Pelodiscus sinensis: one gene and its partners. The protein of the gene in region 4 binds, or shares a complex with, the protein of the main gene of each other region. Links are inferred from orthologs where the notes say so. Each region holds a gene or a part of one and is shown on either strand. Other genes may lie near its edges.

Evidence for each region.
Region 1: the proteins of INTS9 (region 4) and INTS11 are in contact, whole or in part, in a cryo-EM structure (PDB 8RC4), measured with the Homo sapiens proteins. The link is inferred for Pelodiscus sinensis from reciprocal best matches to the Homo sapiens genes INTS9 and INTS11. Residues at the interface, in NP_060720.2 of Homo sapiens: Glu127, Gly198, Tyr199, Ser200, Gln201, Lys202, Tyr231, Glu338, Phe339, Ile342, Phe343, Glu345, Gln352, Lys354, Val355, Tyr356, Leu357, Pro358, Glu359, Pro360, Pro361, Arg511, Arg512, Tyr513, Glu514, Lys515, Ile516, Glu517, Ile518, Met519; in NP_060341.2 of Homo sapiens: His94, Gln97, Ala98, His137, Leu138, His139, Gln140, Thr141, Lys274, His277, Tyr278, Lys280, Leu281, Phe282, Ile283, Pro284, Trp285, Arg291, Phe294, Ser449, Pro450, Ser451, Ile452, Pro453, Val454, Gly455, Ile456, Ser457, Leu458, Leu461.
Region 2: INTS9 (region 4) and INTS12 share a complex: the UniProt entries of both Homo sapiens proteins name them as parts of the integrator complex. The link is inferred for Pelodiscus sinensis from reciprocal best matches to the Homo sapiens genes INTS9 and INTS12.
Region 3: INTS9 (region 4) and INTS7 share a complex: the UniProt entries of both Homo sapiens proteins name them as parts of the integrator complex. The link is inferred for Pelodiscus sinensis from reciprocal best matches to the Homo sapiens genes INTS9 and INTS7.

The regions. Positions count from the first base shown.
Region 1 is NC_134733.1:16,677,640-16,684,785, forward strand, and holds the start of INTS11 (integrator complex subunit 11), read right to left. Parts: upstream 3,012-7,146; 5' UTR 2,875-3,011; intron 1,626-2,874; 5' UTR 1,478-1,625; coding exon 1,450-1,477; intron 113-1,449; coding exon 15-112; intron 1-14. Other genes in the region: CPTP (ceramide-1-phosphate transfer protein), read left to right, coding at 3,212-3,333, 4,788-5,310.
Region 2 is NC_134715.1:26,900,083-26,907,445, forward strand, and holds the start of INTS12 (integrator complex subunit 12), read right to left. Parts: upstream 3,018-7,363; 5' UTR 2,885-3,017; intron 1-2,884. UniProt on the Homo sapiens protein: Component of the integrator complex, a multiprotein complex that terminates RNA polymerase II (Pol II) transcription in the promoter-proximal region of genes.
Region 3 is NC_134713.1:146,927,058-146,934,222, forward strand, and holds the start of INTS7 (integrator complex subunit 7), read right to left. Parts: upstream 3,002-7,165; 5' UTR 2,959-3,001; coding exon 2,868-2,958; intron 1-2,867. Other genes in the region: DTL (denticleless protein homolog), read left to right, coding at 3,433-3,478, 4,074-4,199. UniProt on the Homo sapiens protein: Component of the integrator complex, a multiprotein complex that terminates RNA polymerase II (Pol II) transcription in the promoter-proximal region of genes.
Region 4 is NC_134713.1:4,736,367-4,744,328, reverse strand, and holds the start of INTS9 (integrator complex subunit 9), read right to left. Parts: upstream 3,021-7,962; 5' UTR 2,922-3,020; coding exon 2,871-2,921; intron 2,869-2,870; exon of another isoform or gene 2,846-2,868; intron 2,823-2,845; exon of another isoform or gene 2,798-2,822; intron 1-2,797. UniProt on the Homo sapiens protein: Component of the integrator complex, a multiprotein complex that terminates RNA polymerase II (Pol II) transcription in the promoter-proximal region of genes.

The DNA of each region.
Region 1 (7,146 bases), on a different chromosome or scaffold from region 4:
TCTGCCATACTTACATCATCATTGTAGCCCATGTGCATTCCGCAGTCTAGCATGACATTTTTCCCTGCAATAGACACAAGGATGCAACTCCGGCCCACATCCTGGCCAGCCCCTGGAGCACAAGAAACAAAGACAGCTGCATCACATGTCCATATAACCTCTTAAACCTTTATAAGAATCTATAGATTTGACGCTCTGGGAAAACACTAGCTAGGATGAAGCTCAATACCCCTGTTAAAAAGGCGAGTATCATTTAGGAATGTAAAATCCTGATTAATCAGTTAACCAGCTAAACGAGGTCCCAGCCTCAGGACTGCTAAAGCCACCACCAGTGGCATGAGGCCCCCAAGCCCAAGGCTGCTGCTGCTACCACCACTGGCAGCAGGCGGCTTCTGGCCCCACTGAGGCAGCCCTTCACCCATGGCAGGCTGCAGGCCAGGGGCTGCTCCTGGATACTAGTTAACCAGTACCCAGTAAGCATCACCCAGTAAGATTAACCGGTTACCCATTCAGATCCTTGGTATCATTATCCTCATTTACAAAGGTGGGAAAACCCAGGCTCAGACAGGGAAATGACTTGCCCAGTGGCACACAGTAAATAATTGACAGAGATGGATTAGAAACCTGGATTTCCATCTCCTATAGTCACTCCTCTATGCCATAGTGTCTCACCATTTTGTGAAAGCGCATCTATCCGTTTAGCTCCTGGCTTGTCAGTTTCAGACCAGAAGACACATAACAAAAAGCATTTCTACTGATATATGTAAGGAGATGTCAAACAGTTTCTCACTAAAACTGCTACCATCTTTCAGAATCATCCTCTGTATACAGACTACACACAGAGCCACAGCCCTATAAAATAACAGCAACCATGATTGAATTTGTGTGCTCCATAGGACAAAGTCCCCCACTGAATCTACGGCATTGTTAAAGAATTAATACTTTGCACACACTGTGCTAATATGTATGCAGAAGCTAGAAAACAAGAGGTTCATAGCACATTCCAACTTCAGTAGAAAGAAACATTTTTGGGGTTGGCAGAAAATAGTGTCTGCCAAATTCAAAACAGGAAATAATATTTTGCACTCGTCTAGCTCTTAATCTACAAAGCAGCTTATAAAAATTAATTATTCCTTTCACCATCCAAAAGCAAGGTTAGCAACATGTTTGTGTCTTCATGTTTGCAAAGCAAGATTAAGATCACCTAAAGAAAAAACAAATCTGAATGCAGCATACTAATTACACCAACGTAACATAGTAACATGTAAGTGCAAGTATGAGACTGTAATGAGCTCTTCTATGCTAAAACATAGAACGAAGCTTGAATCTCTTACTATCTGTATTGGAAATATTTCTAACTAATTTTAATTCCTTTAAGGCTCTATCACAGCATCCAAACATTTTCTACTATTCTATCGATTTCAGCTCCATTTTGTGGTTTGAACTTACCCAAGGGGGTGACTTTTATTTCAGGCATTTTAAGTACAGAATAACTTTTTGAACCGTGTATAGCAGGCTACTTCAGAGATGCCATAACTGAAAAAAGGAAAATTCAGCCTGTCTTCAAACTGCTGATCTATTTACTAATATCACACAGAAGAGTTCAGCTGAGGACCCATGGCTTCCTAGAGTGAGGCAAGAATACAGAAAAGAAAAGGGTCAGCTAGCTTGCACATTATAAGAATCATCTAAAACTGCATGCCTGTCTCCAGTATAATTAAGGCTAAGGTTCCACCAAAACATAAGCTGGTTTCCTTGGCAGCATTATTACAGTGTTTTACAGTCACCTACTCCAGGATTGATGGGACCACAGAGACTAAAATAATGTTGATTCAGTTGAAATCAAAACGTTAGGAAAAAAATTAAAAAACAACAAATGGTCTGGCAGCACTTTATAGACTAACAAAACACGTAGATGGGATCATGAGCTTTCGTGGGCACAGCCCACTTCTTCAGATGAACGGATTTATTTGTAATTTTTTGACATTAAAAATGAATGTTTGGATAAAAACTGAAATGCCCTGTCACAACAACATACAACAACCCTTTCCATTTTCAGAATACAACGTTGTGAGATTGTGGTTCCTAAAAATTCTTTCGGAACAAGAATAAATGTTTATTTAAAACACTGTAAACCGTTCAGAGAGGCCAAGAACAGAAAATTACAAAACAAAATGTTCCGGCTGACCTGAAACCAGAGTGGGGTTTGGGTTTTTTTTAGTTATTTTGTGGGAAACATCGAAGAGTGTTGTTTTTATTCAGTCTCACAACACAAAGACTTCATAGGAAGTTCCCCGAAAGCAGAGACCCAGCCCCCACCAAGCTCTAAGGCCTGCCCAGCGAAAGGGGCGTATGCCGGCACTGACTGCAAGGAAAGAGACCCTGCCCGGCACCAGGCCCTCCCCGCAGCCCGGCGCCCCCCCCCCCACAAACCGCCCCCCTCGCGCAGCCCAGGGCCCCCCCTCCACAAACCGCCCCCCTCGCGCAGCCCAGGGCCCCCCCTCCACAAACCGCCCCCCTCGCGCAGCCCGGCGCCCCCCCATCACAAACCGCCCCCCTCGCGCAGCCCAGGGCCCCCCCATCACAAACCGCCCCCCTCGCGCAGCCCAGGGCCCCCCCTCCACAAACCGCCCCCCTCGCGCAGCCCAGGGCCCCCCCATCACAAACCGCCCCCCTCGCGCAGCCCAGGGCCCCCCCACATACCACCCCCCTCGCGCAGCCCGGCGCCCCCCCCATCACAAACCGCCCCCCTCGCGCAGCCCAGGGCCCCCCCACATACCACCCCCCTCGCGCAGCCCGGCGCCCCCCCATCACAAACCGCCCCCCTCGCGCAGCCCAGGGCCCCTCCCCCGCTCGTTCCCAGCCTCACATTACCCTAGGCCCGCGCTCCCCCGGACGCACTGCGCTGACAGCCCGCGCAACGCCCCGCCCCCAGGACTTGGAAAGGGGCGGGACCCGCTCGCCTTCCCCGTGACGCAGGCGCACGGTCTCTCGCCTTCCCAGCGCGCGCCAAGTCAATGACCAGCGGCCGTGTCCTTCCTACCCACCCTCCCGCGATGTGCGATTGGCCAAAGCAAGGCGGAACCAGGAGAGGAAGGCGGTGATTGGCTGGGGTGGCGGAAGGGGCGTGCGCCCATTGGGGGCGGTGCAGGAGTCGGGGAAAGCGGAAGCAGGCGGCTGAGGGGGTCGGCGGCGAGGTACCGGGTTCACCATGGCGGACGGGGCGGACGCGTTCTGCCTGCGGGAAGTGCTGGTGGCGTTCACGGCCTGCCTTGGCGAGCAGCGGGAGGTGCGCGTGGACCCGTACCTCGCGGGCTGGAAGGGCCTGATCAGGTGAGAGGGGGGCGGGGACGCTGACTGGCGCTGGCCACGCCCCTGTTTTTAAAGCCGGCTTGGTGGGGAAAGGGGAGGAGACCGGGTTGGTCGGTGTCAGAGGGAGCCCATTGGCTCGCCCGCGGATCACGTGACAGGCGCGAGCCGCGCCCTTCCCGGAAGTCCTGGGAAGGAACGCAGAGTGGCCAGCGTGGGGCTTGTCTAGCAGGGCTGTGTTCAGGGTTTACTGGGCCCTGTGCAATACTGCTAAGCTAGTGCCCTTATGTCTCCCCGGTGGGGAGCGATGACCATTTTTTAACTGTGATTTTATAATCTTCAGCAACACACTCATATTTTAAACTAATGTCCTGCTGACTCTCAAAGTAAATTTTTAAAAATAGTTCTGTAGCACCCTAGGCTGTGTCTAGACTGCAGGGTTTTTTCGAAAAAAGTAGCCTTTTTTCGAAAAAACGTCACCTGCGTCTAGACTACAGCTGCGTTCTTTCGAAATTAAATCGAAAGAACGCAGCTTTTCTTTCAGTGGTGGTACTTATTTCACGAGGAAGAACGCCTTTTTTCAAAAGTGCTCTTTTGAAAAAAGGCATTCTTGAATGCAAACACGGCTTTTTCGAAAGAGAGCATCCAGACTGCCTGGGTGCTCTCTTTCGAAAAAGCGGCTTGCTTTTTCGAAAGTACTGCTTGCAGTCTAGACTCGCTTTTTCGAAAGAGGCTTTTTCGAAAATATATTTTGAAAAAGCCTCTTTCAAAAGAGGCTTGCAGTCTAGATGTAGACCTAGAGACTAACAGGGTTTTTTTTGTGTGTGCATGCACACGCACACACACACTTTTCTCTGAAACAAATTCAGAAAATGATTGTATATGCCTGAGGCTGGCAAATGGCCTTTAAAATGGCTTCATTACCACTTCAATGGCTCTTTTACAGTTTTTGCGAATAGGTCTGGCAGGCGTTTTCACTTAACCAGATCCTTTCCAGAAGAATCAGAGCCACAGAATAGAGATAGGAAGAGGTGGTGGACATAGCCCCAGTGGTGCCCTAAATTCCTGGCTGCCCTAAGCAGATTCCTCATTTGTATTCTGCACATTGGTAGAATGGCTTGGCTGTCTAAGCTGCTAGTAGGAACAAAGTGACTATTAATATATTCTACATGGTAATATAAACCAAACACTTCTTAACTAACATCTGACTCTGCTAGCTCATTTGGAGGCCTGTTCTATATATTTAGTACATTATAATAAAAATCATCACCACTACCTTATTACACATATTTCATCTTAGATTTAAATTAAATGTGTTCACCAATTCTGGTATGTCCAATAACTTGGTATAACAAAGTCTGATCTAACTCTTAACCACTTAACTAGGGGCATTGTTTCAGTATCATTTCTCAAGCTCCCTTATTCTGTTACCTAACACATGACTGTTTGGGTTTTTTGTTTGTTGGTTTAAAATTTAGGTTTCTGAACACCCTGGGCACAGTTTTTTCCTTCATTTCAAAAGACGCAGTGACCAAAATACAGATCCTAGAGAATTATCGTAATAGTGACCAGCGAGAAAAGTACTTGACTGTTCAATCCATGGTGGAGTATGAGCTGGCTAATGGCCTTGTTGATCTCAAAAAGCGATCTGAGCATCCTGACTCAGGCTGCAGAACCTTCTTGCGCCTCCACCGAGCCCTTCGTTGGCTACAGATGTTCTTGGAAGGACTGAGGACTGGCGAGGAGGACTCCAAAACCTCTGTGATCTGCTCAGAGGCATACAATGCTTCCTTGGCTAACTATCATCCCTGGATTATTCGCAAGGCTGCCACAGTGGCTTTTTATGTCTTACCCACTCGAAATACATTCCTTGAAAACATGAATGTAGGCACAGCTGATGAGGCTGTGGCTATGCTGGGGGATGCTTTGCCCTTTATCTGCAAGGTCTATGATATCACGGAGGAGCTCTATGCTCAACACAAACTGCTTGATCTCCCCTAGCATAGGGGATATTTGAGTAGAGTATTTCAATATTGTAACTACTGGAAGAGTTCACTGTATTTGGGGGAGGGGTTCACTCATGTAAATAAGTGTATTTGCACTAGGGCCTGGATACTCCCTCTTCCCTGCCATCTCCAATATGTCTCTAGTAGAGATCATAACTAATTTGATTGGTACTCTTTGGCCTTCTAAAAGAAAGCTAACTTACTTCTTGGCTCTTCGTTTATTAGCAATTTGGACTAAACATTCCAAAGCCCATATTAGCTTGTTTAAATTGAAGAGACTTATTTCTCTTCTCTGCACTGACCTCCTTTTTGCAAAACTATCAGATCTTTTTTCTTTGCGAAAGCCAGAGCACCCTGCCATGAGTGGTTACTTAATCTTTGTAGCTCCAATGCCTTTAAACAAAAGCAATGAGGAATCCCTCCTTGTCCTACTCACGTGAGACTGCTAAAATTCAGATAAACTAGGATTGGAACCCCTCACTGTGCTATTGTAGAGCCTGTGTACAGACGACACTCATTGACTTCAGTTACTTGTTCTCTGTTGGGGTTAAAAAGATAATGTATATTATAGGGGCTGGTATTTTGGTTTTGATACTCAGTGTAAAGCTGATGCTTTCTCACAAAGAGCAACTGATTTCAGTCCACTTTAATGGCAACTGGTCAACACTTAGGCTTCCCGCTTATCCTCCCAAAAATGTAGTAGTGTTGAGGTGTGGTATTAGGATATGTTCCTTCCCACCCCTTCTTTAGAGATTTTGAGACATGAAGTCCCTTTATTACTCTCTTCCTCTTCCCTACAGTTTTGCTATTTGGCATCATGCTTTTTGGGGTGAGGAATAATCTTTAGAACACAGTACTGAATCACAGAATAATTCAGATCCTTATGGATCTTGAGGCTACTGTTACAGAGACTACCCATAGAGTAGACCTTCAGGAAAGAAAGGGAATGCTGAAAGCCTAGACAAACCCAAGTTCTGCTGACTGGGTGTGGTAATTATAATCTGTGCAATACATAAAAGCATAGTGTTTGCTGAAGCTGAATGCCTTCCAGTCCAAATCAAATCATAAGCTTTAAAAAGAGGGTAAATCTTCATGCATGTGGTCTGTGTACAATTGTTTTAGCAAAAATTCTTAGTATATATGGTGTGTGTGTATATATAGGCTTATACATAGGAAGAGGTACACAATGTGGTTATACAATAATTAATTGTACTTTATCAGATTTTTAAAATGTATCTTTCACAAAAATGTATTAATATTTCAGAAAGGGCACTAATACTACTGCTGTAAAACTATTTCAAGACTACATTTACACCTCACACTGTGCCTCTGTACATTTTATTAACACTTAAAGTAATGTAGATAATAGGAAGCATTTAAATGGCCAATAAGGCTACAGTACTGGAAAACCATATTACCTCATGGGTTTGGGTTAGCTAGCCACACTACTTTCCTTAAAATTACATTAATAACTTGCCTCCAAAGAGTGGTGTACAGGAATGCTTGCCTTTGAAGACGTGTGCTTCCATCTTGTATATTCAGGGGCTATCGAACCCAATAATGAGTAGTTGCTTAATTAACCATTTAGCTAGAGTGCAGAAATGAGACTAAATACATTTTAACAGATTCTAAACTCTCATCTGCAGCATGCACATAGAATATTTCTTAATTCAAGAATCAGGAAAGGAAGGTTTTTTTCCCATTTGATTCCAGGAGGGATGTTTACTCCCAGTGATTAAAATATTTATACCTCTAGTATAGCTCTGAGAAATGATCCATTTTCCTTCTATGCTAAGATTTTAGTTTAGAACCCCTTTAAACTTAAGTTTAA
Region 2 (7,363 bases), on a different chromosome or scaffold from region 4:
AGGCTGCTACCTCTCTATCACAGAAGGCAGCGTGGAGTGCCAGATGGGAGCTGGTCTGCAAGGGGTGTGGAGAAATCCCTGTAATATTATCATTCTCATATAACTTTGTATTAAGATCTTGTCCTTTTAGATATATCTGTAAGTGTTCGTACAGAATCTTTGTAACACTTCTCCTATAACTTTGTATTAAGAGAAACTTTCCTTGTAAGAAAAAAAAATGTCTTTTGAGCTCTCCCCTTTCCTTGATTGTCCTGTTGAAATGAATGAGGTGTGAAGGGAGAATTAAAGGTGAGCACCTCCAGCAGCAGTTGCAAGGGTGGAGAAGGTCTGGGAGCCAGATCCAAGACAATACCTGTAAAGTGAGCTCATTAAGAAGACTGGACAGACAGCTACCTTGGGAGTCAAGCAGCATTGCCCGCCCTTGGAAGAACTCTCTTTGAAGCAGCATTAAGAAAGGCAAGATGATGACTAATTGGCTGCATGAGAGGGATAAATAGGAGGCATCTTGGAGAGGACCCTGGGTTTTCATCTTGTCAACATGGGAGCATCGATCTACAGAAGGCCAGCTCCACCCCTCCTCCATCTAACTCACCTGGCCAGTGCAGTTAGGGGGAGCAACTTTTGGTAACAACAAAATGGAATGTGCTTGTGTGAGAGTGCATGAGTTTAATGTATCATATGCATATGATAAATATTGATTGATCTATGTATGTTCAAGAAATGTGGCGTGTTGCCGTATCCCCCTGAAAAAGATTCTGGGTGCTTCTTTTAAGCACAACAGGGGAGCCAGTTTAAAAAACAGCTACCCCCGATAGACCAGCTGCCTATTGCCTTATGCTACTACCTCTGAGACAGAGGCAGCAAAGGGAGGTGGTGGAAATACTAATAGTCAACTAGATTAACCATTAAGACCAGGTTTATCGACTAGTTGGCTACTAGTTCACATCCCTAGTGCAAAGCACATGTTTGTATTAGATTTCCTTTAAGAAGGGAGCAGTGATCTCAAGTCTATTCATTCCTTGTTTTGAGGATTATTTAAATACTGTAGACAAAATCAAAATATAAATGTCAAAAAGTGATCATAATCTTAAACCACAGATTGTTATATATGAGGAGTAAATTTTACTCAAGTTAGAGGTATTCATTTCCTAGCCAAATGTTTGTTGGTCTAACCCTTCAATCCACTGTGTCTGGATTAGATGTGTGATAGAAATGTAGCCGTGTTAGTCTGGGGTAGTTGAAGCAAAATGCAGGAAAATGTAGCACTTTAAAGACTAACAAGATGGTTTATTAGATGATGAGCTTTCGTGGGCCAGACCCACTTCCTCAGATCAAATAGTGGAAGAAAGTAGTCACAACCATATATACCAAAGGATACAATTAAAAAAAATGAACAAATATGAAAAGGACAAATCACATTGCAGAACAGGAGGGGGATGCGGGGGGGGGGGGGGAGGAAGGAAGGTAAGTGTCTGTGAATTGATGATATTAGAGGTAGGGAGAGTGGGATGTTTGTGAGTTAATGGTATTAGAGGTGATAATTGGGGAAACTATCTTGGTAATGGGTGAGATAGTTCAAATGTTTGTTAAGTCCTTGTTGGAAAGTGTCGAATTTTAACATGAATGACAGTTCAGAGGATTCCCTTTCAAGTGCAGATGTAAAAGGTCTTTGTAGCAGAATGCAGGTGGTTAAGTCATTGAGAGAGTGTCCTTTTTGGTTAAAATGGCAAGAAACTGTTTTCTCTTTGTGATCACTCACAAACATCCCACTCTCCCTACCTCTAATATCATCAATTCACAGACACTTACCTTCCTTCCTCCCCCCCCCCCCCCTGCATCCCCTTCCTGTTCTGCAATGTGATTTGTCCTTTTCATATTTGTTCATTTTTTTAAATTGTATCCTTTGGTATATATGGTTGTGACTACTTTCTTCCACTATTTGATCTGAGGAAGTGGGTCTGGCCCACGAAAGCTCATCATCTAATAAACCATCTTGTTAGTCTTTAAAGTGCTACATTGTCCTGCATTTTGGATTAGATGTGAGCTCCTGAAGGGAGCAACTGTGCTGCTTTCTCTCTGTAGAAAACACTTATCACATGGTGATATGCTACCACACATCAAAAACAACAGACCCACAGCACAACTAATGAGAACCTTCCATTATGAGTTACAATAAGGACTTAAACTCCACACTGTCTGCAAAATACAAGTGTACACATCTGCCTGGCAGAATAGAGGAATTATTGGCTGGAAGAGGGAGGAAGGGAACCGCACTGAAGACTGAAGCAAAATAAAGTGACCATTCACAAGGAGTGGTTACCGGGGGTCAGGGAAAGTGTCACATCACAAGGAGATATTAGAATCATGGAATCCTAGGGCTGGGAGAGACCTCAGGAGGGCATCAAGTCCAGCCCCAGGTCCAAAGCAGGACCAACCTCAACTAAATCAACCCAGCCAGGGATCTGTCCAGCTAGGACTTAAAAGCCTCTGGGGATGGAGATTCCACCACCTCCCTAGGGAACCCATTCCAGTGCTTCACCACCCTCCTAGGGAAATAGTTTTTCCAAATATCCACCCTCGGCCTCCCCCACTGTAACTAGTAAGATCAGTGGTTTCCTAGGAGACTGACAGCACAGCAAGCAGAGGAGAGGGAGATGCTCGCCCAGTGATCAGACCCCCGCGTTGCAACAGCGCGACACTGCGCTCCCCAGCGGGGCCCGGGCAAGCAGCGCGCCCAGCCCCCGCGGCCGGCGCCGGCCTCGCGTGGCCCCGCTGAGGCCGGGCAGGGTGGGGAGCCCGGGGGGCTCACGGGCGGGGGGGACGCGGCTGCAGCCCCGGCCCTGTCCGCGCAGCCCTAGGCCCAGCCCGCCCGCGCGCTCCTTACCCCTCGCCGTTGGCCCGGGCGCCCGGCGGGTGACGCTGCGGCGCAGAGCCCGGCCGAGCCGCAGGAAGCCCCGGAGGCGCCGCGGCGGCAGCGTGCGGAGGAAGAGGCGGAGCCGGGGAGGAAGCGGCGGAGCTGAGGCGGGGGTAAGCGGCGTGGGGGGCCTGTAGGGCCGCGGAGCCGGGCCCGGGGATGCCGGGGCCTGGAGCGGGGCGAAGCCTCCCCGAGACTCGGGGACGGGCGGGCGCTGGGGATGCGCGGTGGCTGGGCACAGGGCCCCCGCGATGAGGCAGCTGCTGGGGAAGCGGGGTGAACTCGGGGCACCCCAGGAACTGGCAGCTGCGGAGGCCGCGAGGTGATCTCCGGGGCACAGAGACCGCAGCGTGGGGCAGGTGCTGAGGTTATGAGGTGCAAGCTTAGGTCAGAGGGGCTGAAGCGTGGGGCAGGTGCTGAGGATGTGGGGTGTACCCCTTGGGCACAGGGGCAGCAGGGCAGGTGCGTTGGATGTGGGGTAAAGACCTTTGTGAGGGACAGTTCCTGAGCTCTCTGTTATTGGGGGGGGGGGAGTCACTCACCTCAGGCCCCTGAGGCATTCCCCCCTCAATTTCTCATTTACTTTCCCATGGGTTTTGCTAGTGTAGGTGTGGGGAGCTATCCTCCACTTTGTGGGAGAATGACGGGCACCCTCTGTATTACACAGCTAATACCACAGCCCCCCACTCTGCAAAGCAGAGACCTTTGTCCATGCTGTGAATGTAACAGCCCCCATCAAGGTATTTCAGCAGAGTTTTAATCCCTGATCTTAAGCACTGCAACACAGATCACCATTATGGGAGATAATGGAGACTCTCCACTACTGGGTAGTCAGTTACCTTCTATTAAACAAGGGGAGGATATATAGAAGATAGGGACACGCTCCTTGCCATAATAGTTAAGTGATCCAGACATGTTCGTAAATAGCATTCAGTGCAGACTTATTAGCAGTGAACAAAGAGGGAAATCACAATTGGTTTATGAACCAAATAAAAGGGTGTCATTTAGATGACAATTGTTTGCAATTACATTTGGAAAAAAGGAAGATCTTTGGGAACATAGGCATCTGCCGTAATGGATCAGACCAGTGGCTTTCTAGTTCAGTTTGCTGTCTCTTAGAGTGGCCAGGGCCCTATGCATTGGAGCAAAAGGCAATAAATCCAAAACAGAATAAATATCCTGCCTATGGGTGTTCTCCAAACCACCATGAGATACTGGTTGTGCCATGATGCATCTATTTCTTATGAACTTTCTAATGTAACTGGATGTTTTCATCCTTATAAAAATTCAGTTATTTTTTTTAAATCCCTGCTAAGATCTTGGTATCAATAGTATCTAGTAGCAAAGAATCTGACTAGTTATACCTTGGGTACTTTTAAAATTGCTGGTTTTCAGATTATTTCAAAAGCTTCAGAGGGGTAGCCAACTTAGTCTGTTTATTTCATTGTTCGCTTGTTTTCTTTTTATCAATAGGATTAGGATGGATTCTCAATGCACCTTTTTTATACCTTTAATCTGTATACCTCTATCTGGTTTCCTTTCTAAAATAAACAGCCCCAATACTTTTAGTCTCGCTTCATGTAAAAAATATTTTCCATTTAGTTGGTCGTTCCTGTGAGTTTTTTCTGAATGAGGGTTCACTGAAAATTTTACATGGAAACTTTTTGATAGCAAGCTGACATAAATGGAATATAAACTAGATATCCTGCATCTGATGCCTTAATACCACAGCTATTATTTTTGCTGTGCTACATATTTATTGGAATAACCATTACATTTATCAGTAACGTGCAGTAACACATGCTACATGAAAAGAAACATTGTCAAATGTCCAGAGTTGTATTTTTCTATAATACAACAAACAAAACCTTTTACAGCAGTAGTCTCCAACCTTTTAAAGCAGTGGTCCCCAACACGGTGCCCGCGGGCGCCATGATGCCTGCGGGGGCATTTGTGTGCGTCTGCCAAATGCTCGGGGCTGGCCTGGCCCTGGGCACGTGGCGCATGCATGGTGCCGGAGCCGGCCCTGAGCGCATGGTGAGCGCCGGCCCTGGGAGCGCTGTGGATTGGCCGCCCGTGCTCTGGGCGCGCAGTGCTGGGGGGGGCGCCAGCCCTGGGCGCACGGCGCTTGGGGGGGGCGCGTGGCGCTTGGGGTGAACGACCATGCCCCCTGGCGCCTGGCAACCTCAAATGGTTGGGGACCACTGTTTTAAAGTATGAGATCACTTTTTGAATTTAAGTGCAATCCTAAATACCTTTGCCCCGCCTCCTTCGTGGCCCTGCCCCTGCTCACCTCACCCTTCCTTCCTCCCCCATCCTTTCGCCTTTTCATCAGGCAGGGGCAGCTGGTCTTGGGCTAAGGGATTTGGAGTGAGAAGGGCTCTGATCCTGGGGCAGGGGTTGGGGTACAGGAAGGGGTTCAGGGTAAGGGTCTGTAAGGGAATTTGGGTCTGGGGATGCTCAGGGCTAGGGCAGGGACTTGGGGTACAGTACAGGGTAAAATACTGGAACAGGGATTCAGAATGCAGGTTCCAGCTGGACACTGCTTACCACAGGTGGCTCCTGGATAATGGTGCAGTGGGGCTAAGGCAGGCTCACCCCTGCACCGTCCCTGCACCACTCTCCAAAGCAGCCAGCAAACTTCCTCCATCCCAAACCTTGTTGTGCCCCCACCCCTGTTCTGTGAAGATAGAATACAGCAGTGGTCCCCAACATTTTGGGGCTGCTGCGTGTCCGGGGGCGGGGCCGCTCACGTTCCATGCACAAGGGGCAGGGCTGTGTATGTGCCGCGCACCAGGGGCCAGCACCAGCATGTGCCACTCACCCGGGGTAGGAGCTGCCCATGCACCAGGCGCCTGGGGCCGGCACCACACATGTGCCATGTGTCTGTGGCAGAGGCTACCCATGCGCCAGGAGCCAGCCCTGGCATGTGCCGTGCGCCCGGAGGCAGGGCCGGCTCAGATTGTTCCGTGGGCACCGCATTGGGGACCACTGGAATACAGGGTGGGTGAGGGGAACAGCTCCAAGGCAAAGGGCAGGAGATGCACAGCAGTGGTGGGAGGGGCAGCTGAAGTGCTGCACTTGATAGCCTCTTGGTCAAACCAGTCAAGATCACCTGTCAGAGGCTCCAAGATCTGATCTTCTAGTTGGTGACACTGTTTTACAGAAACTAAGCACAATAGAAATGTTTTCATTTTTTGTTTGTATTTTTCTGGAAGCATTTGTTTTTAAACAAATAAGTTCTCTGTAGTGTAATCCAAATGTGTAGCATACTGAAACAGACATAATTGATATTGAGCCCATGTTGGAGAAATTTTAAGAAGTAAACAGCACAATTAGTTTAAATGAATTGGATTTTTAACATTCTTTTAGTTCTAACCAGCTAAGCTACCCTTAGTTCCATATTGTAAACAAACACATTTATTTACCTATCTGCTCTTTAAGATGTGCAGTAGAGCTGATGCTGTTAATTGTATTGCAGCAGAGGCACTAGCTACAGACCCTAAGTGAGGCTAAGTTGGCCCCTCTGCTGCCAGTGGCTGTGGGCCCACTCTGGCAGCAGCAGAGGGGCTGGCATTGACCAAGGAATGACGGGGGGCAGGGCACAAGTGCGAAGAGGCAAGGTGGCTGCAGAGCTCTGTGGCTAGGGGCCAGGAGTGCAGCCCTCCGGGAGCACATCAAATTCTGTGGCTAGCAGTCTGGAGGTCAGACTGGTGTCTGTGGGGGTTCTCCCTCCCATTGGGCTGTATTCCTGGACCTGGCTGTAGAGCTCCAGAGCTACCCTGCCTCTTCCCCCGTGTACCTCCTCTCTCCTGCCTCTTCTCCTTGTCCTTCCCTCCCTAAGCTTAAATGCTGCAAATGAGAGGGAGAAGAGCTGCTGAGCTCATGACCCCCAGCTTTTCCCCATAAGTGTTACAATCTGAGAACACCAACAGGGATGCCTGACCACAAATGTTGTTGGATGAGGGAAATCTAGATTATAGAGGTCCAATCTATAGAATAGAGTAAGTGGCAATCTCTGTCCCAAAGATTTTCTCTCTCTGGGTGGGTATGTCTAGACTACATGCCTCTGTCAGCAGAGGCATATAGAATAGGCTACCCGACATAGTCAGTGAAGTAGGGATTTTAATATCGTCGGCACAGCGTGGCAGTCAAGATATGGATCAGTTGACGGGAAGCCTTTGTCAACTGCTCCTGTAAACCTCGTTTCATGAGGCATAAGGGAATGGTTGACAAAGGTTTCCCCTGTCGACCGATCCGCATCTTGACTGCTGCGCTGTGCTGACAATCAGCTAATCCGGCACAGTGCGGCGGCCATTTTCATTTTTATAAAGCTGGGGATATTTAACTCCCCGCTTCATTGACTGTGTCGGGTAGCTTATTTTACATGCCTCTGCCGACAGGCATGTAGTCTAGACATAACAGCTGCGTCTAGATTGGCATGATTTT
Region 3 (7,165 bases), about 140 Mb from region 4:
TTTGCGAAAGAGATGCTTTTGTGCAAGTGTCTCCATGGCAGTGTGGACACTCTCTTGCATAAGAAAGCTCTGATGGCCATTTTAGCCATAGGGATTTCTTGCACAAGAAATTCATGTTGCCTGTCTACACTGCCTTCTTGTGGAAGAGCTCTTGCACAAGAGGCCTTATTCCTTGTGGAGAGAGGAATAGCTCTTTTGGAAGAAGCCCGGTTTTCCGACACCATACTGTAAATTTACTTGCACAAGAACATGAGTGCAGTGTAGACAGACACTCTGCAACTTTTTGCGCAAAAAGCCTGAAGCGTAGACGTAGCCTCAGGGTATGTCTACACTTGCACCCTCTTTCGAGAGAGGAATGCAAATGAAGACGTTTGAAATTGCCAATGAAGCTGGGATTTAAATATCTCATTTGCACATTCGCGTTATGGCGCTCTTTTGAAATAGCGCTATTTCGAAATAACAGATGCTGTTAAGATGGGTTTTCTCTCAAAATAACTATCTTAACAGCATCTGTTATTTCGAAATAGCGCTATTTTGAAATAGCACCATAACACAAATATGCAAATGAAGCATGGATGTTTAAATCCCAGCTTCATTTGCAATTTCCAATGTCTTCATTTGCATCCCTCTCTCAAAAAAAGGGTACAAGTGTAGACATACCTTTGCCAGGATGTGACACAGTTTAGGGTAACCTGGCCTAAGTTATCACCTCTTAGTTGGACTACAGCAATGCAACACAGATGGATATGAAACCTTAGGAAACCCCAATCGGTACAGAATACTGACTAGCGTTTCCTCAGCGCTGTGTTTATGGCAACCAACATCAGACTTATCCTCCACTCCCTACACTGTTCTAGTGATCTGACTGTATACCAAAGATAAACAATAGTAGGGATGTAAAATCCCATTTAAAATGTTGAACAATTAACTGGCCCAGCCATGCCAGGAACCTGTTAACTAGTTACCCGGTAAGCACTGCCTTACTGGCATGCTTGCCTTTACACCCATAGTCAATAGGTAGATTGGCTACATCTAGACTGGCATGATTTTCCACAAATGCTTTTAACGGAAAACTTTTTGCGGAAAAGTACTTTTTGTGGAAAAGCGTCTATGCCAATCTAGACACGCTATTGCGCAAAAAAGCCCCGATCAGGCAAAAGTCCTTTTGCGCAAAGGGGCCAGTGTAGACAGCTCAGATTTGTTTTGCGCAAAAGAGCCTCGATCACAAAAATGGCAAGCGGGGCTTTTTTGCGCAAAAGCACATCTAGATTGGCACGGACGCTTTTCCGCAAGAACACTGACAATCTCATGTAAGATTGTCAGTGCTTCTGCGGAAATACTATGCTGCTCCCATTTGGGCAAAAGTCTTTTTCTGAAAGACTTTTGCGCAAAAGGGCCAGTGTAGACAGCAGAGATTTCTTTTCCGCAAAAAAGCCCCGATCTCGAAAATGGCGATCGGGGTTTTTTTGCAGAAAAGCGCGTCTAGATTGGCCATGGATGCTTTTCCGCAAAAAGTGCTTTTGCGGAAAAGCATCCTGCCAATCTAGATGCACTTTTCCGAAAATGCTTTTAACGGAAAACTTTTCCGTTAAAAGCATTTCTAGAAAATCATGCCAGTGTAGATGTAGCCTCATTGTGTATCAAATCCACACCAGCAGACACTTTTGAATGGACCACAAAATCTCATTTACTTGTTATTGTTTGTATCAATTTCTCTGGAATCTGGACAGTGGCTATGTTTTGATCAGGACATTTGGACCTTTATGAAAAGTAATCGATTATTCCAGATCTAGATCCAAAAATATTTAAGGGCAGGTCTCCACTACAGAATTACTTTGATACATCTATGTCACTCAGGGGGATGAACCTCTGTGCATCATATTTGTAGCAACCTCAGCACCACTATAGGCAGAGTATGTGAGTAGCTACTGCCTCTTAGGTCACCCCCTCAATTTAGATCATCTTAACTAAATCACTACAGTGGAATCTGTGCTGATCGACCAACCAAAGCTTTAGAATGAAGACTATGGTTAACAACTTCTCTTTTCTGGCACAATCAGAGTAAAGCTCTGTGCAGGAAAGAGATTTCCCAGTCTCTGCAATGTCTATAAATCTATGCAATGAACTTTCACAGTAGCCAAGAGGCATCACAAGACACATCTCCATGGACTTGGCTGTCACTAAACCAAATTCAGGATGTGGTCTGACAGGTGCCTTGCCCCTGGGAGGCTGGGGACAGACTGCCTAAGCAGCAATTTGGCAGAAAAAGACCCGGGGATTGCAGTGGATGAGAAAAAGGCACAATGGTCTCAAGTTACAGTGGGTGAGGTCTAGGTTGGGTATTAGGAAAAACTATTTCACTAGGAGGGCAGTGAAGCCCTGGGATGGGTTCCCTAGGGAGGGGGTGGAATCTCCATCCCTAGAGGTTTTTAAGTCTCAGCTTGACAATGCCCTGGCTGGGATGATTTAGTTGGGATTGGTCCTGCTTTGGGCAGGGGGCTGGACTAGATGACCCGAGGTCTCTTTCAGCGCTGGGACTCTGTGAGCGCAGAGGGCAGCAAGCAGGCGCTGGGCGGGCAGGGCAGGGGGGAGGCAGGAAAAGCCACGCGGGCCGGAAGTCCTGCGGCTGCCCAGAGGGCGGGGGCACACAGGGCAGAGGCAAGAACCGGCGCGCCGCACGCTAGGGCGGCACCGATGGCAGGAGAGGGCGAGGGGCGGGCTGGGGCCTGTCTGGGCCTGGGCGGGGCGGTGTCTCCAGGCCGGCTCCCCGCCGTTAGCGCGCACCGCGCCAGACCGACTGAGACGGAGATTCCGCTGCCAGCGCGCGCATGCGCCTCCAGCCACGGCTAGGCCCTGCGCTCTCCTACCTTTGTCCAGCTCCATAAGGGCGGAGTTAGCATCCAGCTCTTGCTCGCCGTAGCCCGCATCTGCCAGGAAGGACTTAGCGCCGGAGGCCATGGCGGTACCCGCTCCCGCACTAGATCGCAGCACGACCTGTAAACCCACTGCGCAGCTACCTACGTGCCTCAGCCTCAAGTGCAATTGCGCATGCGCGATTGTCCGCACCACTGACCTATTCCCGCTCCCGCCACTACGTCCCGGGACGCATGCGCCCTCACGAGCTGCAATTTAGACTCGTACTCCCCGCCCCCAGGTCTGCTGCCCGTGTACAGTGATCCGCTTCAACCTACCACCTTAACCTCAGCGTCTGTAGCACCTAGCGTGGGGACTAGGGGAGAGGGAAATGGCTGCGGCCTCGGGCCCCGCCCCGGAGCCCCTGCCCAGTGGGAAGTAGTGGGTGTGGCCTCCTGCCCCGCCTACGTTGTCCTGTCCAATGGCAAGCGGGAGTGGAGTTTGGCGGGTAGCGCGAGTGGCGGGAGTAGACGCTCCTCTGTCCGTTTTGTGTCCCGGTCGCTGTGGGAGTCACTGGCCATGCTCTGCCGCTCGCTCCTCCACCGAGCCCGGGACGGGCCGCAGCGTGAGTATCGGGCCGCCCCAACGGGGACCGCGATCGCCTGGCCCGACCCTGCCGACCGCGGGAGCCCTGCCTGCGGTGTGCTGAGCCCGCAACTCCTGGGATCGCCTGCTCGGCTTCGGCCCGGCGCGAGGGGCTGGGTGCCGGGGCCCCGGAGAGGGGAAGGGCAGGCAGGTGCCAGTTCTTTCCCCGACGCATGGCTGTAGCTGTAGTGCGGCCCTGGTGCCTTCTCCGTCCTTGCTTGGCAGCCCCATCGCTGGGGCGCCCCTCTCTTTGAGAGATCACCCCACGGATGAGGCTCTCCAGCCGGGGGAGGTGCTCGCAGCTGTCCGCGATGGTGTGGGGATCGGGTAGACTGGCACGTCTCATGGGACGTTTCTCCCTAGATCGTTGTAGCTAATGGAACAGCAAATGCCCGGTACATGTAGATTCTTCTGTTTAGTGTTCAAACTATGACTAGTACTTTGGCCCCATGACGAAATGGAAAATCCCATCGACGTCCAAAAACCTGGATAAGACCTCTTACTGGAAGAAGTTAGTAGGTCTTATTGCAGCAACTCAAAATGCCTGATAAATGACAAAATACACATATTTTTAGGTTTGTCTTTGCAATATCCCCTGCAACATCTCTTGGATTGCTATGAGTGCAGTCAGCTAGATGACCACTTTTCTTATGGAGAGACGGGAATGCCAGTTCCTCCTTTCGGTTGCACCTTTTCTACAGGTAAGTGTTCTTTTTTAAAATCAAAATGCTATGCTAGAGCCCAAGCTGTCTGCACATAAATATGTACAGACTTTAATACGGCTACGCCCTGAAAGATATTGTAGCCATTTATTTTGAATATTCAGTTTCATAAAGAGCCCTTTATATCAGTGACAAAATAGACTAGACCAGGGCTACTTAACATGTAGCCTGTTTGTGGCCCACGGGTGGGAGCCAAAACAAAAAAGTACTCCATGTATAATGGTCTTCGGTTGATACGTGTTTTAGCAGTTAAATTCCTGGACTGACATTGCTCATTAAAAGTGCTGTCATATGGGTGGAAATTGGGTAAGTATTTCATTTTATTAATATCAGCAGAACTAACTTAAATGGGGCCTGTGTGTTGTGTAATCTTGCCTTAATCTTTGTATTCATGCCCCTCAGTGTGAAAAGCTATTTACATATATTTGGGGCTTCCAAAGTTGAGTAGCTCTGGACTAGACAGTTAATGACACATCTACCAGAGCAACTATTAAGAATAAGCTCTTAGGTCAAAATGTCCCTTGCCATTTTTCAGATATGGATGCTATATTCAAAAATCCATTATTTCTTTAAGGTAAATTGGGTAACACTATGGCTGTGTCTACATTGGCAGCCTTTTCTGGAAAAGGGATGCTAATGAGACACTTTGGAATTGCAGATGCTGCGGGGGATTTAAATATCCCCTGCGGCATTTGCATGAACATGGCTGCCGCTTTTTTCCAGCTCGGGGCTTTGCCGGAGAAAAGCGCCAGTCTAGACAGGATCTTGCGGAAAATAAAGCCTTTTCTGGAAGATCCCTTATTCCTGATTTTAAGAGGAATAAGGGATCTTCCGGAAAAGGCTTTATTTTCTGAAAGATCCCGTCTAGACTGGCGCTTTTCTCCAGCAAAGCCCCGAGCTGGAAAAAAGTGGCAGCCAGAGGCGGATTTAGGGCAGGGCGAGCGGGGCGGCTGCCCTGGGCCCCGCGTTTCCCGAGGCCCCACGCATGCGCCTTGGCACCACGGCGCATGCGCTGTGTCAAAGGGGGGGGGCGCGAAATTTTGCTGCCCGGGGCCCCGCGGAACTCTCATCTGCCCCTGGCGGCAGCCATGTTCATGCAAATGCCATGGGGGATATTTAAATTTGCATTTGCAATTCCGAAGTGTCTCATTAGCATCCCTTTTCTGGAAAAGGGTGCCAATGTAGACACAGCCTATGATTTAATTTGATAAAATAGAACTATGCAGCATGATGGACCATTGGCAGTATTATGGGATTGCTATGCATTTTAATAAAGTGAGTTCAATTAAAGCATTTAAATAAATGTACACACTTTCACAACTTTTGATTTCAGCCTTATTTGAGACAAAGTATGTCTTGTTGTGGCACTAAAACTAGGTCTGTACTAGACCCAGAAGGTCAGCTTAAGGTACTCAATGAAAAAAGTCAAGCTTGGTGCTATCTGCACAGGGAGAGGTTGATGAGAGCTCCCATCAGCTTCCCTTACTCCTTGCAATTACGAGAAGACCTGGTGTCCACTGGGCGGGCACCCTTGGTGTTCGATTTATTGGGTTCTTACTAGACACACTAATGCCAGAAGATCGATCTCCAGCATGGCAAGTGGAGACATGGCCTATGATGTTTGCAAATTTAGGTTGGTCTTTGTTCATAAGTAACTAGGATCAGGAATAGAGTGAGGAGTAGTAAATGGAAACGGATGAGAAGGAAGATGTGCTTCTAAAACCCATGTGCTTCTAAAACACTGGCCGCTTGAATTTGCGCAAGAGCACTGACGTTCTAATGTAAGAATTCAGTGCTTCTTGCGCAAATGCTTTGATGCTCCCGCTCAGGGATAAGCCCTCTTGCGCAAGAATACTTGCACAAGAGGGCCAGTGTAGACAGGCACCTTAATTTTTTGCGCAAGAAAGCCCGATGGCTAAAATGGCCATCTGACCTTTCTTGCGCAAAAGCGCGTCTATACTGGGCACAGACGCTTTTGCGCAAAAGCATCCGTGCCAATCTAGACGCTCTTTTGCGGAAATACTTTTAACGGAAAAGTTTTTCCATTAAAAGTATTTCCGCAAAATCATGCCAGTCTAGATGCAGCCCATGTGTATCACTTTCTTCATGGGTGACAGTTGCTGGCTTGATTGACAGGCCTGGATATTGAAATCCTGATCTGGAGGTAAATCACTGGCATTAGCTGTGCAAGATTTTCCACACTGTCCCTCCTGTCCTGTGTAGGGATGTTAAATTTCAATTGATTAGCTAATTGAATAGTCGATGGGATTTCCATTGTCTATTTGATTAGTCTATAAGAACTTCTGTGTTCCAGCGGGGACTCTTGTACATTTCAAAGTTGGCCACCACTGTGCCCCTGCCCCCTCCCACGGAGATGGAGTGAACCAGCTTGTAAGCCAGTTCCCTCCAGCATCCCTCCTCTTCCACCCCCTTACTGCCTCTTTGTGATAGCAAGGGGGGGAAGCGACTAGTTGACTAGTGTGTTGACTGTCGGATAAACTAATGACTCGTCGATTAGTCGCTTACATCCCTAGCCCTATGCCTAAATCCTGGCCTAAAGGAATTACCAAACTGTAGAGGATAGTTAATTTTTTATATTTATTCAACACTGTGAACAAGGTGATAGAAATGTAGCCATGTTAGTCTGGTGTAGCTGAAACAAAAAACAGGACTGTGTAGTACTTTAAAGACTAACAAGATGGTTTATTAGATGATGAGCTTTCGTGGGCCATACTCACTTCCTCAGATCAAATAGTGGAAGAAAATTGTCACAAATTATACCAAAGGGTACAATTAAAAAAATGAACACATATGAAAAGGACAAATCAAATTTCAGAACAGAAGGAGGATCGGGGGGAGGTAAATGTCTGTGAGCTAATGATATTAGAGGTGATACTTGGGGAAGCTATCTTTGTAATGGGTAAGATAATTAAAGTCTTTGTTCA
Region 4 (7,962 bases):
AAACAGGGTTATGTCCTTGATTTCTCTTGACTACATGGAATTCCCCCCCTTTTTTTCTTTTATGACTTAACTCAGTGTCCTGTATGATGTTAAAATAATGTAAGTTGTAGTATATTAACCTTTTCAATTTATTTCAACAAGATCATAAATTATTATTGCTTAAAGCTCATTAAAAACAGACCAGCAACATATCCCAAATATTGTGTTCTTGGGCTTGTCCAACTGGAAGGTCCAGTTTGCTATTTATTTTTTCTTCAGTTCTCTAAAAATGCAATTACACCCATCCAAAGCTCTTGGTATCTGTCCCATTAATTAAAGATCATAACACATGAACCACAGTTTGTCCACAAATATATCCACCTATGACCTCTTCAACAACCTTAGAGAAGAGAGAAAGAGAAAGGCTTTGAAAAGTATGTGGAAAATTAACACATCTGGGATTTGGCAGATCAAAGCAAGCAGCAAGCTCCAAATCAACAGACTCCTCACAGAGAATGCTCCACCATTTTATTTATGTTGAGTATGAGTGACTCTGCTGACTTGACATGTGGCAGTTTGGCAAGGGAGAGAGACAATCGTGCAGGGAACAAGGCCTCAAGCCATTCAGAGACTTATAGATTAAAATCCAACACTTCAAGTTTTATCCATAAACCAGTGCAGATTGTGCACCAGTGCTCTAAAGTTATGGATCTAAGCTAGTTATAGGCAGTATATATACAATGGAGTTTGCTGTTGGATTTGCCTTTATAATGGTCAGCAGCAGCAGCAAGAGCCTGAATAAAAGCCCATCAAAATCAGAGGTCATCATTCCATTGTCTTCACTGGGCTTTTGAGCAGGTGTCCATTGCTTAGGACTGGTGTGGATTTATTTTTGTCTTGTTCTTCCATATTTAAAACAAATACATGAGGGTCCAGGATGAAATTGCCAAAAAACCTGAATATCCCTTGTGACCTAAGACAAAAACCCAAGAAAAAAGAGCTACATAAGGACAGACAGGGTCAGGCCAAAGGTCCATCTATCCCAGTATCCTGTCTTCTGACAGTGGCCAATGCCAGGTGCCCCAGAGGGAATGGACAGAACAAGTAATAATCAAGGTATCTATACCCTGTTGTTCATTCCCATTTTCCAACAGAGGTTAGGGACACCATTCCTGCTCATCCTGACTAATAACCACTGATGGACCTGTCCTCCACGAATTAATCTAGCTCTTTTTTGAACTCTGTTATGGTCCTCCTCCGGCAAAGAGTTCCACAGGTTGACTGCGCATTGTGTGAAGAAATATTTCCTTTTTATTTGCTTTAAACCTGCTGCCTATTAACTTCATTTGGTCATGCCTAGCTCTTGTGTTATGAAGAGTAAATAGCACTTTCTTATTCGCTTTCTCCATATAAGTCATGATTTTATAGACCTGAATCATATAAACACTTTGTCAAAGGGTGTTGTGAAGGCTATTAGCCAGGATGAGGTCCCTAGCAACTGTTTGTCATAAGCCCCATGGGCAACTGGGAATGGATAACTTGGTTATTCCCTGTTCGGTTCATTTCCTCTATGGTGTCTAGCATTGGCCACTGTCGGAAGACAGGCTACTGTGCTAGATGGAGCTTTGGTCTAGTCTAATATCTGTTTTTATGTAAAAGTCTGCAGGTTTGGTACCTTCATCTACCTCTCCATAAATTCATTTTACAGTGATAAATTAAGCCACAGTGAAGGTAAGTGATTTTCTCCTAGTCACAAAACAAGCCAGAGATGGAGTCAGAACCCACAGGAGTTGCACCCCACAAGTCTGTGTCGTATTATAATACACACTTTGCCTGTGGGAAACTACGGTCATCTGAAGAAGTGGGTTGTGCCCACGAAAGCTCATGATACCATCTACATGTTTTCTTAGTCTATGGCTACATCTAGACTGGCATGATTTTCCACAAATGCTTTTAACGGAAAAGTTTTTCCGTGAAAAGCATTTACGGAAAAGAGCGTCTAGATTGGCACGGACGCTTTTGTGCCAAAGCACTTTTTGCGGAAAAGCATCCATGCCAATCTAGACGCGGTTTCGTGCAAGAAAGCCCCGATCGCCATTTTCGCCATCGGGGCTTTTTTGCACAAAACGATTCTCAGTTGTCTACACTGGCCCTCTTGCACAAAAGCATTTGCGCAAGAGGGTTTTTTCCCCGAATGGGAGCAGCATTGTATTTGCGCAAGAACTCTGACGATCATACCTTAGATCGTCAGTTTTCTTGCGCAAATTCAAGTGGCCAGTGTAGACAGCTGGCAAGTTTTTCCACAAAAGCAATTGCTTTTGCGGAAAAACTTGCCAGTCTAGACGTAGCCTATATGTTTTTCTATATGTTTTGTTAGTCTATAAAGTGCTACCAAACCATTTGTTGTTTTTAAGTTGATCCTGTACAGACGAACTTGGCGACCCCCCTAAGCTTCTGTTTTTCAAAGTAAGCCAAAGTCATCCACCTGTAAAGACTGTATCGCTCCAAGTTAAAAAAAACCCTCAGAATCTGGGTTCACCCATCCTGGGAGTGGCTTAGGGTCTCCAACTTTCAGACGAGGAGCAGCAGCATCTGATGATTTTCAGTGTGGGCCCCCCGACACACACACCCACCCCCCACCTACCCACACACCCACCCCCCTCCTACCTACACACACCCCCTACACACCCCCCCTACCCACACACCCACCCCCCTCCTACCTACACACACCCCCTACACACCCCCCCTACCCACACACACACCCCCACCCTCCCTACCTACACCCCCACCCCCCCCTACCTACACACACCCTACCTACCTCTCGGCAACACCCCCCCTCAAAAGCGTCCCCTTCTCTACCACCAACCCCTTCCTGCCCCTCAGCTTCTCACGTGGAGCCTCGCCGCGCCCGGGCCAGGGGCTGCTCCAGCCCCGCCCACCATGGTCAGGGGGCGCGCCGGCCCGGCCAGAGGAGCCCCGCCCGCAGGAGGACGGTTAACCGGTTAACCGTCGCATCTGAACGGTTGACGTTTGAAACGGGGCTCTACCTCCCGGAGCGCGTGGCCGGCTCCTTGACCCCCGCGCGGCAGGGCCTGGCCCAGTGGGCCCCAAGCCCCCGTCACAGTTGGGGCCTTTGGAGCCTCGCCTCACATACAGAGCACGACGCGCCGCCCCGGGGCCTGCCCCCGCTAAGTGCCTCAGTTTCCCCAGCGGTGGGGGGAGGGCGACCCCACGCTCCACCAAGGCTGAGCCCCCCCTCAAGCTCAGTAGACTCTCTAGGGCCTACTGCGTAGCCATGGCAACCAGGCCTGGCCTGAAGCCCAGAGGCAGGACCCGCCCCCATGCCCGGGACGGGAGCGAGGGGGGACCCTTCAGCCCAGCCCCCCCAAACAGACACTAGCTCCACAGACTCACCAGCTTCATGCTTTACCCGGCCGGCGCTATTTACTGTGACCATCCGCCCCTTTTCCTGCCCAGCCTCCCCCGCGCAGAGCATCATGGGACTCGTAGTCCTCTTGCCGCCGCCCGCCCCTGCCCAGGATGAAGTCATGCCCTGCCACCCCTTCCCCAGGTGCATCCTGGGAGTTGTAGTCCCTTCCTCTCCCCAGCCCCTCTCTCCGTCGGCGCGCCGTTCCGGAAGGGCACGCTGGGAGTTGTAGTCCTCCTGCCTCGGCTCTCCCCTTCACCCAGGGGAGGGGGGAACTACAAGTCCCAGGGCTGCGCAGCGGCGGCAGGTGGGAGCTCGGATGTTGATATCAACATGGCGCTTGCCAGACAGACAAAGACAGTCAGTCTGGTGTGATTGAGCCAAAAAAAAAAAAAAAAAAAAAAAAAAGGAGCAGGGGGGAGGGGGGATTTTCTCTTGGGGGGGGGCCGGAGAGGGGGGATTGGACGCGGAAGGATTTTCACCCCCATTGCTCCCCTCCCTCTGCACCCCCGTTATTGCCCCCCTCACACTGGGGCTGGGGATCCCCCACTTGCGCTCTTCCATGGTGAGGTGGAGAAGGGACCAGCGTCCAGAGGTGAGTGTTGCTGGGCGTGGGGGACCGAGCTGCTTTGGGAGGGGCATGGGAAGGGTCCCCTGAGCTTGAGCTGGGCCTGGCTGGGGGAGTTTAACCCTGGGATGGGGGGGAGCTTCCTTGAGCCCCTGGAGCACAGGCTGCGTGAGGCGGATTTGGGGGTGGCAGGTCCCCTTGCCCTGTGCTGGGTTTGGCGTTGGTGGAGGGGGAGATCCCCTTAGCCTGTGCACATTTTGCTGGGAGAGTTCAGTAGAAGGGATCTGGGTGGCTCCTTGTATCCTTGAAGTGGGGGCAGGGAGGTGTCTCCTAGGCAGGCTTGTTTTTTTGTTGTTTTTTTTTTTTGCTGGGGGAGTTCAACACTGTGGTTCGGTGGCCGTTTTCTTGCTTTCTTTGAAATACAGGCTGCGAGTGAGGTTGATTTTTTGGGGCGAGGAGGGGTAGATGGGTGGGAAAGGGACAGAATCCTTTTAGGTTGGGTTTTGCTGAGGAGTGTACTGCTGGGATGGAAAAGGCTGGTGGCTCCATGTGCGCTAGAAGCACACGATTGTGGGAGAGCAATGGTGTGTTTGGGAAGTGGGACTTGCACCAGGTTAGACTTGCTTCTGGTGGACTTTTTAGGGTTGGTCCTGCTTTGGGCAGGGGACTGGAATTGATGACCTCCTTAGGACTCTTCCAGCCCTGTGAGTCTATGATGGGTGGTGTCTGAAATTTGTGTGACTATGCACATTGCCTGAAATAGGGGACAGGTAAAGGGAAAGAGGACAGGGACAGATTCTGTTGCTGCTTGCAGGGTGTGTTGGGCTATTCTGCAGGCTGTTGTAGTTTTGCAGGGAGTTGAACACAGGACTAGGTGGGTGGGGTGAATTAGGAAAGAAGGAAGGCACCTTGCCCACTGTTGGGACATTATGGTGATGAGTGCACTATTAATACCTAGATTCTATTCTTGAGACACACAATGTGTGTGGCATGACTGACTTAAGGTGAAAGAAGAGGAGGTTGGTGTTTTTCGCGGAGGAATTTTATACTGGCCTATGAGGAGGACAGGGAGGGTACCTTTGAAACAAATAATATGCCTATGAAAGAACTTGGGAGAGGGAGGGTCCTTGTTAAGAGAAGAGACACTGTGTTGGTAGGGTCGGATGAGTGTGGGTGGATGTAGGGGGATGGCACAGTGCTTTTGTGGTTGTATGTCCAAGACACTAGTGATAGCTTACTACCAAAACAAATCTGCTTGATACAGAAGCAAGAGCATGCATCATGAGGAAGAGATAGGTGAGAATCCTAAGGGGATGTTGTAGCTGATGTGTTCAACACTGGAGGGCGGGGTGGGGGGGGATGGAGTGGACATAAGAGGGTGGCTCCTTGAATGTACGGGAGATGAGCATGGATGAGGTTTTTATTTTGGTTTTACTTTTAAAATGAGGCTCAGGTTTTGAGGTGGGGGGAAGGTGTTAAAATAATATTTATATTTTGTATCTGAGACATTGCTTTGAATGCCCGGAAAGTGCCTAAAAAGATGATGGCTGGAGAAGGTGGCAGAGAATTCTGTTAGGCTGTTACATTCTGTTTTTATTTTTTGCTTTGCTGTGGAGTTAAAAAATGAGCAGGATGGGTTTTTTTGAGGTGTAAGTATACATACAGCAAGGTGAACTGAGTTGGGCTCTTGCACCTCAGTTTTGGGTGGTGAGTTTTGGTGTATAGGAAGGAGTGGTTAAAAGTGCCTCTAAATGTGTCTGCAGGGTATTTTCTTTGGAAACAATTTTTGCATTAGCCCTGAAAAATCTTTTGATCATATGTTTATTTCCCCCTCCCCCTTCAAATAGGGGAAGGAAAGAGTGCCTTTTGGGGTTGGAGGGGAAGAGGAAGTATGAAACATATTCCCACTTCCCTGTCTGTGAAGTCCTATCGACTCAGTTTATTCTGGAGCTCAAGTAACACTGGCAACACAGAGAGAAGTGTCTTCAAGTGCTGAATGCATGTGGACTGAAAGTGGAGGATGTTAAATGTAATGGCCCAGGACATTGAGTTGGGAAAAGTAAGTCTGTTAGGTACTGGCTGTGTGCTCTTGGCTCAATAATCAGAGGGACTAGATAGATTGAACTCATAAAGGAGATGCAATTTGCATGAATGATGCCACCCGAAATAAAGTTGTGTTGTATAAACGGCTTGTGCTAGGCAGTCAGCTCATCTTGCTAAAATCCCGGAGCGCCTGTCTGGATCCCGTGATACCACTAGCTCATTTCTGCAGGGCTCATCAGGTGCAGAAGCCTCTCTGCTTCCTTCCTAGGATGGTGCAGCTGGCATCTGATTTCCTCTATGGATGGGAGAGGAGGAGTCCTGTGCGATTGTTTTTTTCCTTTGAGATGATTGCATTTTCCTTGGCCTCACTGTTCCCTGCCTCATTAGTAGAAACTGCATCTATATTTGTTTACCGCAGGCATGCCAATGGGGATGCCTGGAGTAGCGGATAGTGGGTCTATGTGAATTCATCACAATAACATGTTTATTTTTTCCCCTTCCATTGTTGTACAATTATCTTAGGGGACAGTTCTGCAACAGCAGGCTGTAAACTTCATTTGTTTGAGGTTTTTTGACCCTCCTTTGCTGCATTTCTGAGCTAAATCTTTAAGGAAATGATTGGGGACAGGCAGCACATTACATACACATGATTGGAACTTCTTTAGCTTCAGACAGACTTTGTCTTTGGTTATGAAAATTATTTGCCATCTCTCTGTTCTAGGAGTTCTGGAATCTCTGAGGTGGCAGGTTTATACTCCATCTGTCTATAAATTGATGTGCTGCTTGCATTTGGAAACACTGGACATTTTCTCTTATGCAAAGATTCTTCATCTTTAACTCCATATGACATGCACAGACATTTTGTAGGGTTGACACAATTGTTTAGTGGGTAGGGATGTAAAACCTGGTTAATCAGTTAACTGCTTAAACACTAGGTTTAAAAGGTTAACTGATTAAGCACAGGATCCCAGTGGGGGACCGCTCCAGCCTGCCCCCACAACTGCTGCTGCTTGCTCTTGGCCCCCTTTCCCACACAGAGGTACCTACAGGTGGGGGGAGGCTGCTCCCAGATACTGGGTAACTGGTTACCCATTCACATCCCTAGTAGTGGGCAGAGTACAGGACTAAGAACAAGGAATTTGTTTCATCCTGCCAGGCTGGCACCAAATAGGCATCAACATTTTTACTATTATGTCACTTAATGGAGAGCAGAGCAGGTCTGCACAGCTGTAGTGCGTAGCCCACTAGCTGTTTTATAGTAGTGTTACCATGGATGAAACTGCACAGTTTTCAGAAGAACCGTGGGAGGATTTTACAAAAATCCTATATAGACGAAGTTGTCCATCTCTCCCAAAACTGACCAAGTAAATGGCTACGTCTGTTGGATATTTTTAAAGCATCTATCGCTATACAATCTATTATAATTTTGTTAGCTAGGGATGAAATCTCATTGGCTCAGCACTACGAAGAGCATGAGTAACCAGTTGCTGCCTCCACCATGTTATCCCTTGTCTCAATTTCCCTATGTGTAAAATAGGAATGCTTACTAGCTTCCTTCAGAGTTGGGTTATGAGTAAATGTCCGGTGCTTTGAAAGTGGAGTTAGCGTTTTATGAAGTTTTATTTTGTAGAGCTGAGAAGTGACAAAACCATACAATTATGGAGGAACTTGGAGATTCTCTGTCTTCAAATAAGGAACAAGAGAAATGCCAGGGCTTTGTTTTTTCTTTACCCTGAATAAATGCAAAGGTCTGTACTAAAATGTATTTGCTCCATGCCTAATTGTTTGAGGCAGATCTGCTTCCATTGAAGTCCATGGGAGTTGGGCCCTCAGTACGTGATCCCTAGGTAGGGAGAAGGACTCCAGACAGGCAAAAAAATGAATGAATTGTTCAGATACAAGAATTAGTTTAACTTATAACATATTACCTCTCTTTCATAAACAA